3 linked regions of the Mus musculus genome follow. The protein of the gene in region 3 interacts with the protein of the main gene of each other region in a pairwise test. Links are inferred from orthologs where the notes say so. Each region holds a gene or a part of one and is shown on either strand. Other genes may lie near its edges.

The links.
Region 1: the proteins of Rufy1 (region 3) and Utp25 interact in binary tests that used the Homo sapiens proteins (3 or more experiments, as listed by UniProt). The link is inferred for Mus musculus from reciprocal best matches to the Homo sapiens genes RUFY1 and UTP25.
Region 2: the proteins of Rufy1 (region 3) and Rab39b interact in binary tests that used the Homo sapiens proteins (3 or more experiments, as listed by UniProt). The two-hybrid records come from large-scale screens. The link is inferred for Mus musculus from reciprocal best matches to the Homo sapiens genes RUFY1 and RAB39B.

What each region holds. Positions count from the first base shown.
Region 1 is NC_000067.6:193,127,889-193,131,639, reverse strand, and holds the start of Utp25 (digestive organ expansion factor homolog), read left to right. Parts: upstream 1-1,388; 5' UTR 1,389-1,489; coding exon 1,490-1,596; intron 1,597-1,656; exon of another isoform or gene 1,657-1,788; intron 1,789-2,109; coding exon 2,110-2,149; intron 2,150-3,093; coding exon 3,094-3,373; intron 3,374-3,751. UniProt on the Homo sapiens protein: Component of the ribosomal small subunit processome for the biogenesis of ribosomes, functions in pre-ribosomal RNA (pre-rRNA) processing. Essential for embryonic development in part through the regulation of p53 pathway.
Region 2 is NC_000086.7:75,575,688-75,579,438, reverse strand, and holds the start of Rab39b (ras-related protein Rab-39B), read left to right. Parts: upstream 1-1,207; 5' UTR 1,208-1,431; coding exon 1,432-1,646; intron 1,647-3,751. UniProt on the Homo sapiens protein: The small GTPases Rab are key regulators of intracellular membrane trafficking, from the formation of transport vesicles to their fusion with membranes.
Region 3 is NC_000077.6:50,428,730-50,432,480, reverse strand, and holds the start of Rufy1 (RUN and FYVE domain-containing protein 1), read left to right. Parts: upstream 1-1,355; 5' UTR 1,356-1,375; coding exon 1,376-1,697; intron 1,698-3,751. UniProt on the Homo sapiens protein: Activating adapter involved in cargo sorting from early/recycling endosomes. Regulates retrieval of proteins from endosomes to the trans-Golgi network through interaction with the dynein-dynactin complex.

The sequences.
Region 1 (3,751 bases), on a different chromosome or scaffold from region 3:
GATGTCTATTAATGAGTTCCTAGGCCAGGCCAGGTGCTGGCTACCACCCTTTCTGTTTGCATGGCTTTTGATACTTTTTTGCTGGGGGGGGGGGGTTGTCCCCCACCACCACTGGCTTTCCCACTCCCACCCTAATTATTAGTAGTAGATGACCCTGGAACAGAGGGCGGACAGGTGGACCTGAGTAAACCCCTACTCTTCCACAGAAAGATGTTTCGATGTCTCCAGTTGTGCTTTGAGTCTAAGCTGGAGCTAGTACTTTGTTTACATTGAACCTCGGTTAGTTTTGAAGGGAAGTATGTCTTTGTGTGGTGTCAAACAGCCTCACCTATTGCTGTGTGTCCTTGAAATACAGGCCTCAGCTATTTTTGTTCGTTCCTTTGTTTATTTAGAGAAGTTGGGTCTTGTTTTATTTTCCCTGGGTAACATCAAATTCACAGAGATCTGCCAGCCTCTGCTTCCCAAGAGCTGGGATTTAAGGCGTGTGCCACCATGCCCGGCTCAATTTTATTTTTTAAGTAAAGGTCTCTAACACTTCATTCTCTTGCCTCGGCCTCCCGGGGACTGAGATCACAGGTGTGAGTCACCACTAGTTTATTTGCTGTGTGGGTTTGTTTTGCTCAGTGTTAAAGATCAAACCCCAGGATTTGAAAAGTACCTTGGCTAAGCACCCTACATATGAGCGAGCAACGCCCCTGGCCCGTTTAGGCTATTACTCACACTCAGGCTAATACACATCAACTTTAAATGTACAGTTTCACTCGTTTGGGTGATAACACATACAAGATCCTACTTTATCTTGTGTGTTTCTGCTTTTGTTAAAGAAGCAATGTCAGGAGAGGATCACCTCACATACTCCCAGAGACTAATGAATGATCTTTCTTGCTAAGCATCGGTGTCTGCATCTTTCTCAACAGACTGACTCGCTAGATCCGTCTGGACAGTGTGCCGTTAAGTGGGGTGTGCGGGCACCCTTAAGCGATGGTCCTTATTCTTCTGAGTAGCATTCAACCATTTCTGCTAGCATACATTGACATATCAAAGCGAACCACGCGGTTGTGGATTTCGCTTAGTGCTTGAAAACCAGTGCAAGGTCCTGGGTTCAGTTCTTAGCTCCTGGGAGAGGGACAAAGGACCACCAACCTCGTCCTCCTCAATTTTGGAGAAAAAAAAAAAAAAAAAAAAGGTAAAAGATAAGCACAAAGCAAGCCACTCCATCCCGGAAAGACAGCCAGTCCCTGCAGCCCTAGGAGCTGGTGTTCCGATCACGCATGCGTAGACACGCCTATGTGCTAGAGGCGCTCCGGCAGGGGGCAGTATAGCGACCAGAGGGTGTAACGCCTGTCGTACTCTCTGGGCGTAAAGCAGCTTTGCTTTACGGCTCCCGCCTCCGCCGTAAAGCCAGCGTGCCCACGTGCGACAGCGACAACTTGCCACTGGGAACCTTGTGTTTTGTTTGTTTGTTTGTGGCGAGCTTGACGTTTCCGCTATGGGCAAACGCCGGAACCGGGGCCGCAGCCAGATGCTCAGCACCATGACCAAGAAGCAGAAGAAGCACCTCCGCGACTTCGGCGAGGAGCACCCCTTCTACGACAGGTCGGGGTGCGCGGGCCGCCGGGAGGGCTGGTTCCGGCCGAGTTGAGCCGGGTCCGGTCGGTGCAGGACGGGAACCCCGCTGCGGAGGTGCGCTCTGCACCGGGACCTGCTGAGACCGCGGGCCGTGCTGCCTGTCATCCGAGCACGCGCGGGCTCAGGCGCGAAATCGCAGCTTAGCCCAGCCAGGGCCGCGTAAGGGTCTCCAAAAACAGGACGGGAGGTCGGGAGATAAAGTTGGCCCTGAGAGGTGAACCCCGGTGTGCCGTTAAAAGCCAGTTTCTGACTTATCCTTTCTTAAGAGATGTCATTGAGCTCTCTTGTCTGTTACCCTTTTGTCTGCTGATCATCTCTGCCCTTGTGCATGCAGAATTTCATTTTTTACACTGACTGGATATTATCCTGTATTGGACATTTTTTTTTTTTTTGGTATTCATTTAAAGCAGAATCATTATGCCTTTTCGTGATTGTTACGAACTAGCAGCTAAAGTTTAATGTTATCTATTTCTATTTTAGGGTTTCCAAGAAGGAAGCCAAGCCGCAGATTTGTCAGCTGGTAATGCTTTTTTTCTTTATAGTAGTTGGAATTGGGTTGTTACCTTTAAGATTGGGTGTAAACGTAAAGTTTGGTTTGCATCCCCGTGTTTCTCTGTTTTGGGTGTGAGCTGTGATTTTAGTAATGCTACCCAATTGGTTGTAAGTGATGGAGACAGCTGTAGAAATTACCATGTGATGAGAGAGGCTATGGTTGGAAACTACCCCATGACACTGTCTTAAGTTCTGTGGAAGGGGTTCATCAGAGTGCTGGCTCCTTGTGCATGAAAGGCTTCACACAGTATAAAATGGACAAGGGGCCCGGAGACTCAGACAGTGACACTTGCTTGTAATTCTCCTCTTACATCATGCAACATGAAACCTGATGTCTGAGATGTAAGTTAAAACTCATAACCTGAAATTTTGTTTGAAAAGTCAGTTTTCTTTCCACGTGCAGCTGATGTCAATTAGAACCATAGCTTGGTTAACTGTTTTATTTAAGTTTCATGCCCGGCTTGGTTCAAGAGATGAGACTGTAATATTTGCTGAAAAGCTCATAGGGATTTTTGTTTTGTCTGTGAGTTAATGTATATTCATTATACAAAGTAGCGGGTTTCCTAAGGACTTTTCCAGTCAAAATTATCTGATCGTATTCATTTCCTTCCTTTGACTGTTTGTCTTCCATCTCTGCTCATCCCTTTCCTCTTCCCAAATTCTTGTCCTTTTGATTTCATGACTTCTAATTTCTTTTAAATCTAGTTTCCTTGTGCAAGAGAAAATATTACTTGTCTTTAGTCTGACTTATTTTTACTTCCTTATCACCCATTCTATCCATCCCCTTGCATGTGATATAATTTCCTTCTTTGTGGTTGAGGAAATTCCACTAATATGTATTTCTCACATTTTCTTTCTTATTTTTATTTTGACAACAATATATATATATATTAATTTCTCATTTTTCTTTAGCCAGAGAGTTCAGATTCTTCACATTCTGAAAGTGAATCAGAGAGTGAACAAGAGCACGTTTCAGGGTACCACAGACTGCTTGCTACATTAAAGAATGTTTCTGAGGAAGAGGAAGAGGAGGAGGAGGAGGAGGAGGAGGAGGAGGAGGAGGAAGAGGAAGAGGAAGATGACAGTGCTGTAGGTGATGCAGAAATGAATGAGGAAGCTGGCAGTGAGGATGGCAGTGTGGGAGAAGCTGCTGTCTCGGAGGCTGCTGAGGAGGCTGCTGAGACACAGGAACGTAAGTGCCTGGGGCCGGCCTGTCCTCTTCATTCTGTGTTGTGTGGGCTGAGTGAGAGCATGTGGTTCCAAGGCAGAGATTCAGCCTTGTTGGGTTGGGTTAGCTTTTGAGACTCTGATGGGAACACAGGACCCTCTCATCAGGAAAATGCTGTTGGCTTACTCTTTGGGGGACTTGTAACCTCCCGTAAGACCGCTTGGCGTATCAGGGGGACATTATGTGGTCACTGTGACAGCTCAGTTCACTGAAGAGGTTGTTCCGCTTCAGTAAGAGACCAGGTTTGATGGGAGGTAGACATAAAAATACAAACTTTCATGTTGTAGATTTGTTTATATGAAGCAGCTGGAGAGGAGATGAGGCTGCTCTCACTGGGTCCTT
Region 2 (3,751 bases), on a different chromosome or scaffold from region 3:
AACCCCCAGAGCTCCCAGAGACTAAACCACCAACCAAAGAGTACACATGGAGCGACTCATGGCTCCAGCTGCATATGTAGCAGAGGATGGCCTTGTGGGACATCAATGGGAGGAGAGGCCTTTGGTCTTGTGAAGGCTTGATGCCCCAGTGTAGGGGAATGCCAGGACCAGGAAGTGGGAGTGGGTGGTTGGGTGTGGGAGCACCCTCATAGAACAGTGGGAGGGAGAATGGGATGGGGGGTTCTGGAGGGGAAACCGAGAAAGGGTAAAACATTTTAAATGTAAATAAAGAACATATCCAATAAAAATAAGCATTAAATCTAAACATATTTCTCAGAATATATGCAAATAATCATGAAAAGAAATCTTAAAAATATTCAATATCACTAATCATAAAGAAAGTGCAAATCACAGTAGAATATCATCTCACCAAGATATGAAGGACAATTATCAAAAAGACAAAAGAGATACTTACCTAGCACAAGATATGCCATGATCATGAAAGCGGATTACCCATAGCAAGGTTTATACATTGCACTCAAAATGTGCTGACTCCCTGGGATTTCTCCTACTGCTGGGAAACTTTATTGCATATTTTATGGTAATGAGGAGACTGATTTTGTGCTCTTCTAATCAGCAGAGGGGAACAAGATTAAAGATAACAAGTGTGTGTGTGTGTGTGTGTGTGTGTGTGTGTGTGTGTAGAGCAAAGGGAACCCTTGCACACCACTGGTTATAAATAAATTAGGACAGCTATTAGGGAAAACAGTGTGAATGTTCTTTTAAAAATGTGTTGGAAATGGAGAGACGTATATGACACTTTGTTATTTGCACAAAAAGTATAGGATTAAATTTTGTGTCTTTTAAAAAATAAATAGCAATAAATGCACATGCATATGCCTGAATAATAATATTTGCATGTTTGAGCATGGAAACCCGGAGAAGACAATTATTCGACTTTTGTTTACTTTTATGTATTTTTCTAGATTTAATAAAAATTAATTAGATTTGCAATTGTAACGGCAGAGAGATTTTTATATTAATTTTTATAATAATTTTTATATTAATAGGAGAGTGGTCGGTATAATTAAAAACAGAACACATTACTCTCCTGTCCGTTTTTGTGTGCGCTCCTCTAACAGACAGTGTGGTGAAACTACTGCCGCGTCTACGCAGAGAATTACAGTAACTCGGTTTTCAGTGATGAGTCAGAGTGCGTGGTGCTGATGCTGCTGCCATTTCATCACCTTTGCGAGCGCAGCATCCATCCCTTCGTTCCCCCAGCGCCTGGGCCTACCTTGCTTCAGGCTACCAGGCCAGTGATGTTCTCGCGGCCGATCTAGAAACGGGTTGATCTGTGCTAAGGCCTTGGTGGGGCGCCCCCTCCCGCCTCCCCAGGCCCGGGCCGAAGAGTCCTGCCAGGCCACTGCCATGGAGGCCATCTGGCTGTACCAGTTCCGGCTCATTGTCATCGGCGATTCCACGGTGGGCAAGTCCTGCCTGATCCGCCGCTTCACCGAGGGCCGCTTTGCTCAGGTTTCAGATCCCACCGTGGGGGTAGATTTTTTCTCCCGTTTGGTGGAGATCGAGCCAGGAAAACGCATCAAGCTCCAGATCTGGGATACAGCGGGTCAAGAGAGGTTCAGGTGGGAGTGCACCACGGGCCCGCGCGAGCAGTGGGAGGGTCTTTGGGGCTTATTCAGTCCCTGGGGAAAGAGGACTTCCCGGTTCTTTTCGCGATGCTGCCAGGGTGACAAACAAGGGTCTGTCTGGGGCTTTTCAAGCCCACTTTGAGCTACCTTTGAGTTCGATGCAGGAAAGAACCGCCCAGGCAGGAGAAGGCCATTCATTATCACATTATTTGAACCACAACTCCATCAATCTGCTTTTGGTAGCTAATAAATAACTTGAAATTGATCACTGTATAATTCATCAAAATCAGACCCTATGATTCATAGTTTAAAAAAATCCAAGTCATTTTAACATAACTGAAAGCTATAGGTAGGTAGATGTATATTGACTTCTTTCTATATATCCGTTTATATTTGTGGGGAAGAAAAGACAGAGGGAGAGACAGAGACACAGAGAGAATGAATATGCCCTAATATAAAGGAAATGGAGACTGATTAATTGACTGTCTTGTAACCATCATACAGTCAGTTGCCAGAGGGTGGAATCATTTCTGAAGAAATAGTATGAGGTTACTCACATAAGAGAATTCCATATAAAGTAAATAGTCAGAGCCCCTGACTTCTTGGAACTTCAGTACTAGCATGGTCAGAAGAAACAGAAACAGAGGCAACACACAAAAGAGTGTTTTGTTGTTTGTATTTATATGCCACTCCCTACTGTACCACTGGGCACATAATCATTCAGCATGTTTATTTTTCTTTCACAATCCTTTGCTCTTCCTTTGTAGTATTTATTTGTAATTTCATGTATGAATACAGAGGAGAGACCGGAGAAGATGAAGCCCAAGTAAAGATAGGAAATGCCCAGAATAGGGAAAAGCATAAATAAAACATAAGTGACAGAAAACAAACTAATAAAAACTTTGTAGAGAACAGTTTGAACTAAAGTAAGGTAGAACAGGAGGAACCAGAGCAAAAGGACTCAGTTCATAAACACTGACTCATTCTCCACTGAACATTAGTTGGACGCAGAAGATACTAGTTAGGTAATTAAGTTGCCTCTAACTTCCCACTTGTACAAAGCTCTGGCAAATACTTTATATAAGTTCTCATGAATAAAGAAAGGTCTCTTATATATGTTTGCTGGGATCTCTGTATGAATGGCTTGTTCATATTTACTATTTATTATGTATTATATAGTATTGATTTGTAGGACTACTTTACAGATTATCCCAACACCAACAGTGGTGGCATAGCCCTATAATTCCAGCCCTCTGAAGGCTGAGGCAAGAGAACGATAAGTAGTTGAAGGCCAGCCTGGACTTCTGTCTAACAAAAAGAACATTAACCCTTTTATGTCATGTATGTTGTGAGCTATTTCCCCAATATGTCATTTGTATTTTTATGTTTTTTTTTAATTTAGGGTCAGTGTCTAGTTCTATATAACTTTACACTATGATTAAAATACTTTGATATCTTCTGTGCTAAATACAAACCACTAATGCATAAATATATTCTAGAGCTTGGATACACTGCTCATTGATTTCTCAAATCAACATTTTCACAAATTGGAGCATTTTCCAATACAATTATCATTCCCCATTAATCTTCAAACATAAAGAAATTATGAATATCCATTTCCCAGGGCTAATATCCCTGGTTCTAGAGACCTGAACTTATTTGTAAGGCCTACCCATATCATCTTCTAGCTTGGGCTGTAATTCCCTAGACATTTCCCCCACATTAACACTGAGCCATTTTCCCATACATTTTCAGCTATTATTTATCATACCCTCTCAAGAAGACAGAAATCCTAAAAATAGATTTCAAAAATTGCAGTAGTCTAAAGCAAGTGATTATATAGGCAAGTTATTCTACATCCTTTCATGAGATTCTACATTCTTAAGCAAAACACATTATATGTTTGTAATAAGGTTCGTCAACTCAAGAAACTAAAATATGTGATGTTTCTTCTGTTTAAGAAGTACAATAAATGTACAAGTAGGCTAAAATAACCTAATTACATGATTCAAAATAATAATATAACTTCATTGGAACACTTTCACTATTTTGGCAGATTCTCCCAGCTAGTGCCTCCTCAGTCAGCCTCTTTGAATTTT
Region 3 (3,751 bases):
GGTTTGACATGGTCCAAACTGTTAAATTCTTTTTTGCAAATTGTTACATTCTCATGACATTCGCATCTCCATCTTGCCAAATTCCCTTCTATCCCTAGTAAGAAAATAGGCTGAATAACCACATATCTGTAGGGTGACTTATCCAAGCCAGAGTTGGAAAGCAGAGACAATAATCACAAGGTACGTTGTGTGCTGCGTTTCCTTATCACTTAGGAATGAGGTTGGTTCAATTCCTATCAACTTAATTAATAGCAGAATACAGAGCTCATTTCCAGACCACCACTGCTGACCTTGCCTGCTAGGCTGTCATTCAGATTCATTTGATTTGAAAGAAAAAGCCCCACCACCACACACACACCTCTGACTCATCTGTCCTAATTTCTTTGGCAGCCCTTTTACAGCCTGTTCTGAAGAAAGCTGCCGAAAAATATGAAGTCGAAAATATTAGACATGAGTTGGCATGGTAAGGCACACATAAAATCCCCATACTCACTTGACAGAGGCAGGGGGATCACCAGTTCAAGGCCAGTGCTCTATTACTGAGTTCTAGGCCAGCCGGAGCTACAGACTGAAATTCTGACTGGGAACATAGCTCTGCTAGTTCTGCTAGTAGAGTGCCTGCCTAGCATGGTGTGGGGTCAGAAGCACTTGGGAGATGGAGACAGGAGGATCACAAATTCAACGGTCCTGTTGGTTATGTGTGTTGGGGGTTGGGTGAAGCTCAGTGGTAGAGGTCTTGATTAGCATGTATGAGATACGAAGTACAATTCCCAGAACTGCCATGCCGCGCGCGCGCGCACGCGCGCGCGCACACACACACACACACCCCAGAAAAAAGTAGTTAAGCACACCCCTGCCAAGTGGCCTACTGGGGGTGATGGGGACTGCGTTGTTGAGACAGGGTTTCTCTGTGTAACTCTGGCTGTCCTGGAACTCACTCCGTTGACTCTGCTGTCCTCAGCGATATTGCCTGCCTATGCCTCCCTGATGCTGGGATTAAATGCTTGTCCCACCACCACTTGGCTACATGGCCTGTTTTAATGTCTCCCTTGTGTGGGGGAAAGAAACAACAATAACAACAACAAATAAAAATCCAACAGTGAGATTTTGATTCAAAGGGGGAAAAGGCATGTGAAATGAAAGTTTAAAAGAGGAAGTTGTGTCGCAAAACGTTAAAATAAGGCGCATTCCCGGGGTGGGAAGTAGAAAGTCCAAAAGTAACTTCCAAGTGCTCCGGGCTGGGAATCACCTACGGTTAGGAATCGTACTTTCCCGAATGCTATACAAGGAAAGCAAGCCCAGGTGAGAGCGAGCAAGGCCGCAGCGGCTTAAGGTCGTCGGTCCAGGGCAGCGGCGGGTCACGTGACCTAACAACATGGCCGCCCGCGGAGAATGCCGCCGGGCGGGGCAGGATTCGGAGCCGGAGCCGGAGCGGGAGCCGGAGTCCGAGCCGGGGCCGGAGCCTGAGCCCCAAGCAGGCCTAGAGTCCGGGGAAGCGTTCGAGATCGTGGACCGGAGCCAGCTGCCGAGTCCCGGCGAGCTGCGGAGTGCGTCGCGGCCTCGAGTGGCCGACAGCTGGTCGGCGCCCATCCTGACGCTGGCGCGCAGAGCCACCGGGAACCTGTCGGCGAGCTGCGGCAGCGCGCTGCGCGCGGCCGCGGGGCTGGGAGACGGCGGCGGCGGCGGGGAGCGCGCAGGTAGGCCGGGGTCCCGCGGGCCGGGGCTGCTCCCGGGCTGGGGAAACCTGACCGGCCGGACGAGCTGCTCCGCGGAGCTGTGCCGCGCGGCGCGGCACGGGGCTCTGCAATTGGTGTCACCCACCGGGCCAGGGTGACTGCGGCCCGGGACTCCCCTCCCACCTTGTTTGTCTTTGTGAACCTCAGAGCAGCTGCGTCGTGATCACGGATTGACTTTAAATAGGAGGTTTACATTAGAGGCTTAGACGGAAAATCACCAGTGTTCGTATTTTGCATACTTGACAAATGAAGTCCGGTGCTGGTCCCCAGTTAACAATCTCGGCAGCCAGCCGGTTTGCACCTGCGGCTGAGGTTGACAGCGTATTCCAAAGTTGGTGAGAGCAGCGAGTCAGAGTCAGGAGGTTTTAGTTCCCTTTATTCTCCCGCCACTAACCCCCAACCCCACCCCCCGTGGGACGAAGACTTCCCATCACCTGTCCTACTCGCGTTTCCCAGTCTATAAAAACGGGGATTAAAAAAAAAATTAATCAGCTACGTTGAATAATCCAATTCAGCTGTTATGATCTAGATTAGAATTTCAGCATACCAATAAAGAACAAAAGTAAATTATTATTTGTTTTTTATAGCTGGGCTTGGTGATTCGGGTGCATACTTCCTGCACATGTTAATGTACGTGCTCAGAACTGCGCTAATTATAATCCATTGGTGTTTCTGAACATATCTAAAATTAAAATATAAAGGATAGCCAAGGGCGTTGTGGTGCTCGCCTTTAAGACCCGCACTTAGGAGGTAAAGGCTTGTGGAGCTCTGAGAGTTTGAGACCCACCTGGTGTACACAGTGAGCCCCTGCCTCTAAATAAATAAACAGACAAATAAATAAATAACCACGTTTCACTTGGCCTGGTCACTTACTGTGAATGGACCATGCAGACTTCAGGTTGCTGAGGTAAAGTGAGTGTTGACTGTAAATGCCTGGGGCATCACGTGCATACAATAGACTTTAGTACCCAGATTTTATTTTAAAGAACAAAATCACAACAAAAACAACAAAAAAGCTTCTTTCCTTGGTAATGAATTAACCTTGATTTTTCGGTTTTGGTCTTGGTTTTTGTTTGGGGTTTTTTTGTTTTGTTTTTAGTTTTTTGTTTTGAGACAGGGTTTCTCTAAGTATCCCTGGCTGTCCTAGAACTCACTCTGTAGACCTGGCTGGACTCGAACTCAGAAATCCTCCTGCCTCTGCCTTCTTCATGCTAGAATTAAAGATGTGCACCACCACCGCCTGGCAATCTTGGTTATTTTTATAACCTTTTCATTTGTGTGTGTATATGGGTTCACATATGTTTGTACATGTGCTTGTGTACTTGGAGACCAGAAGTTGGCTGTTTTCCTCAACTGTTTAACCCACCTTATTTTTGAGACAAGGTCTCTCACTAAGCCCGGAGCTAACCAATTGGCCACACTGTCCAAAAAGACCCAGGTGTTAGCATTCTGTCTAAACTCCACCCCCACAGTTACCTAGCAAGAGCCAGGCAGGCCTGACCCACTATAAAAGGGGCTGCTTGCCCCCTCCTCCCTCTTACTCTTGCTTCCCCCTTGCTTCTCTCTTGCTCTTCCCTTCCCCCTCCCCGTCCCCCTCTCTCCACGTGTTCATGGCCATGCCCGGCCTATACTTCTCAACTCTCTCCCTCTCTCTGCCTCTACTACGCTCTTAACTTCCCTCCCCATGCCCTGAATAAGCTCTATTCTATACCATCATGTGGCTGGTCCCTCAGAGGGTAGGGGGTGCCTTGGCATGGACCCGCCGAGGCAGCCCCTTCCCCCATACCTCACCACACCCCCATAGAACATATCTTATACCTCTTTATCTTTTTTTTATAAACACATCGCCAGGTATCGTCCTGTCTCTGCTTTCCCAGGGAAGCACTGGGAATACTAACAAATGCTGTCGTGCCCAGTGTTTAACACTGGGGATCTGAACTCAGGGCTTCAAGTTTCATCTCCAGCCCTGATGTTTTTAATCATTATGCTTGCCGTGCTGTGCCTGTGGAAGTCTG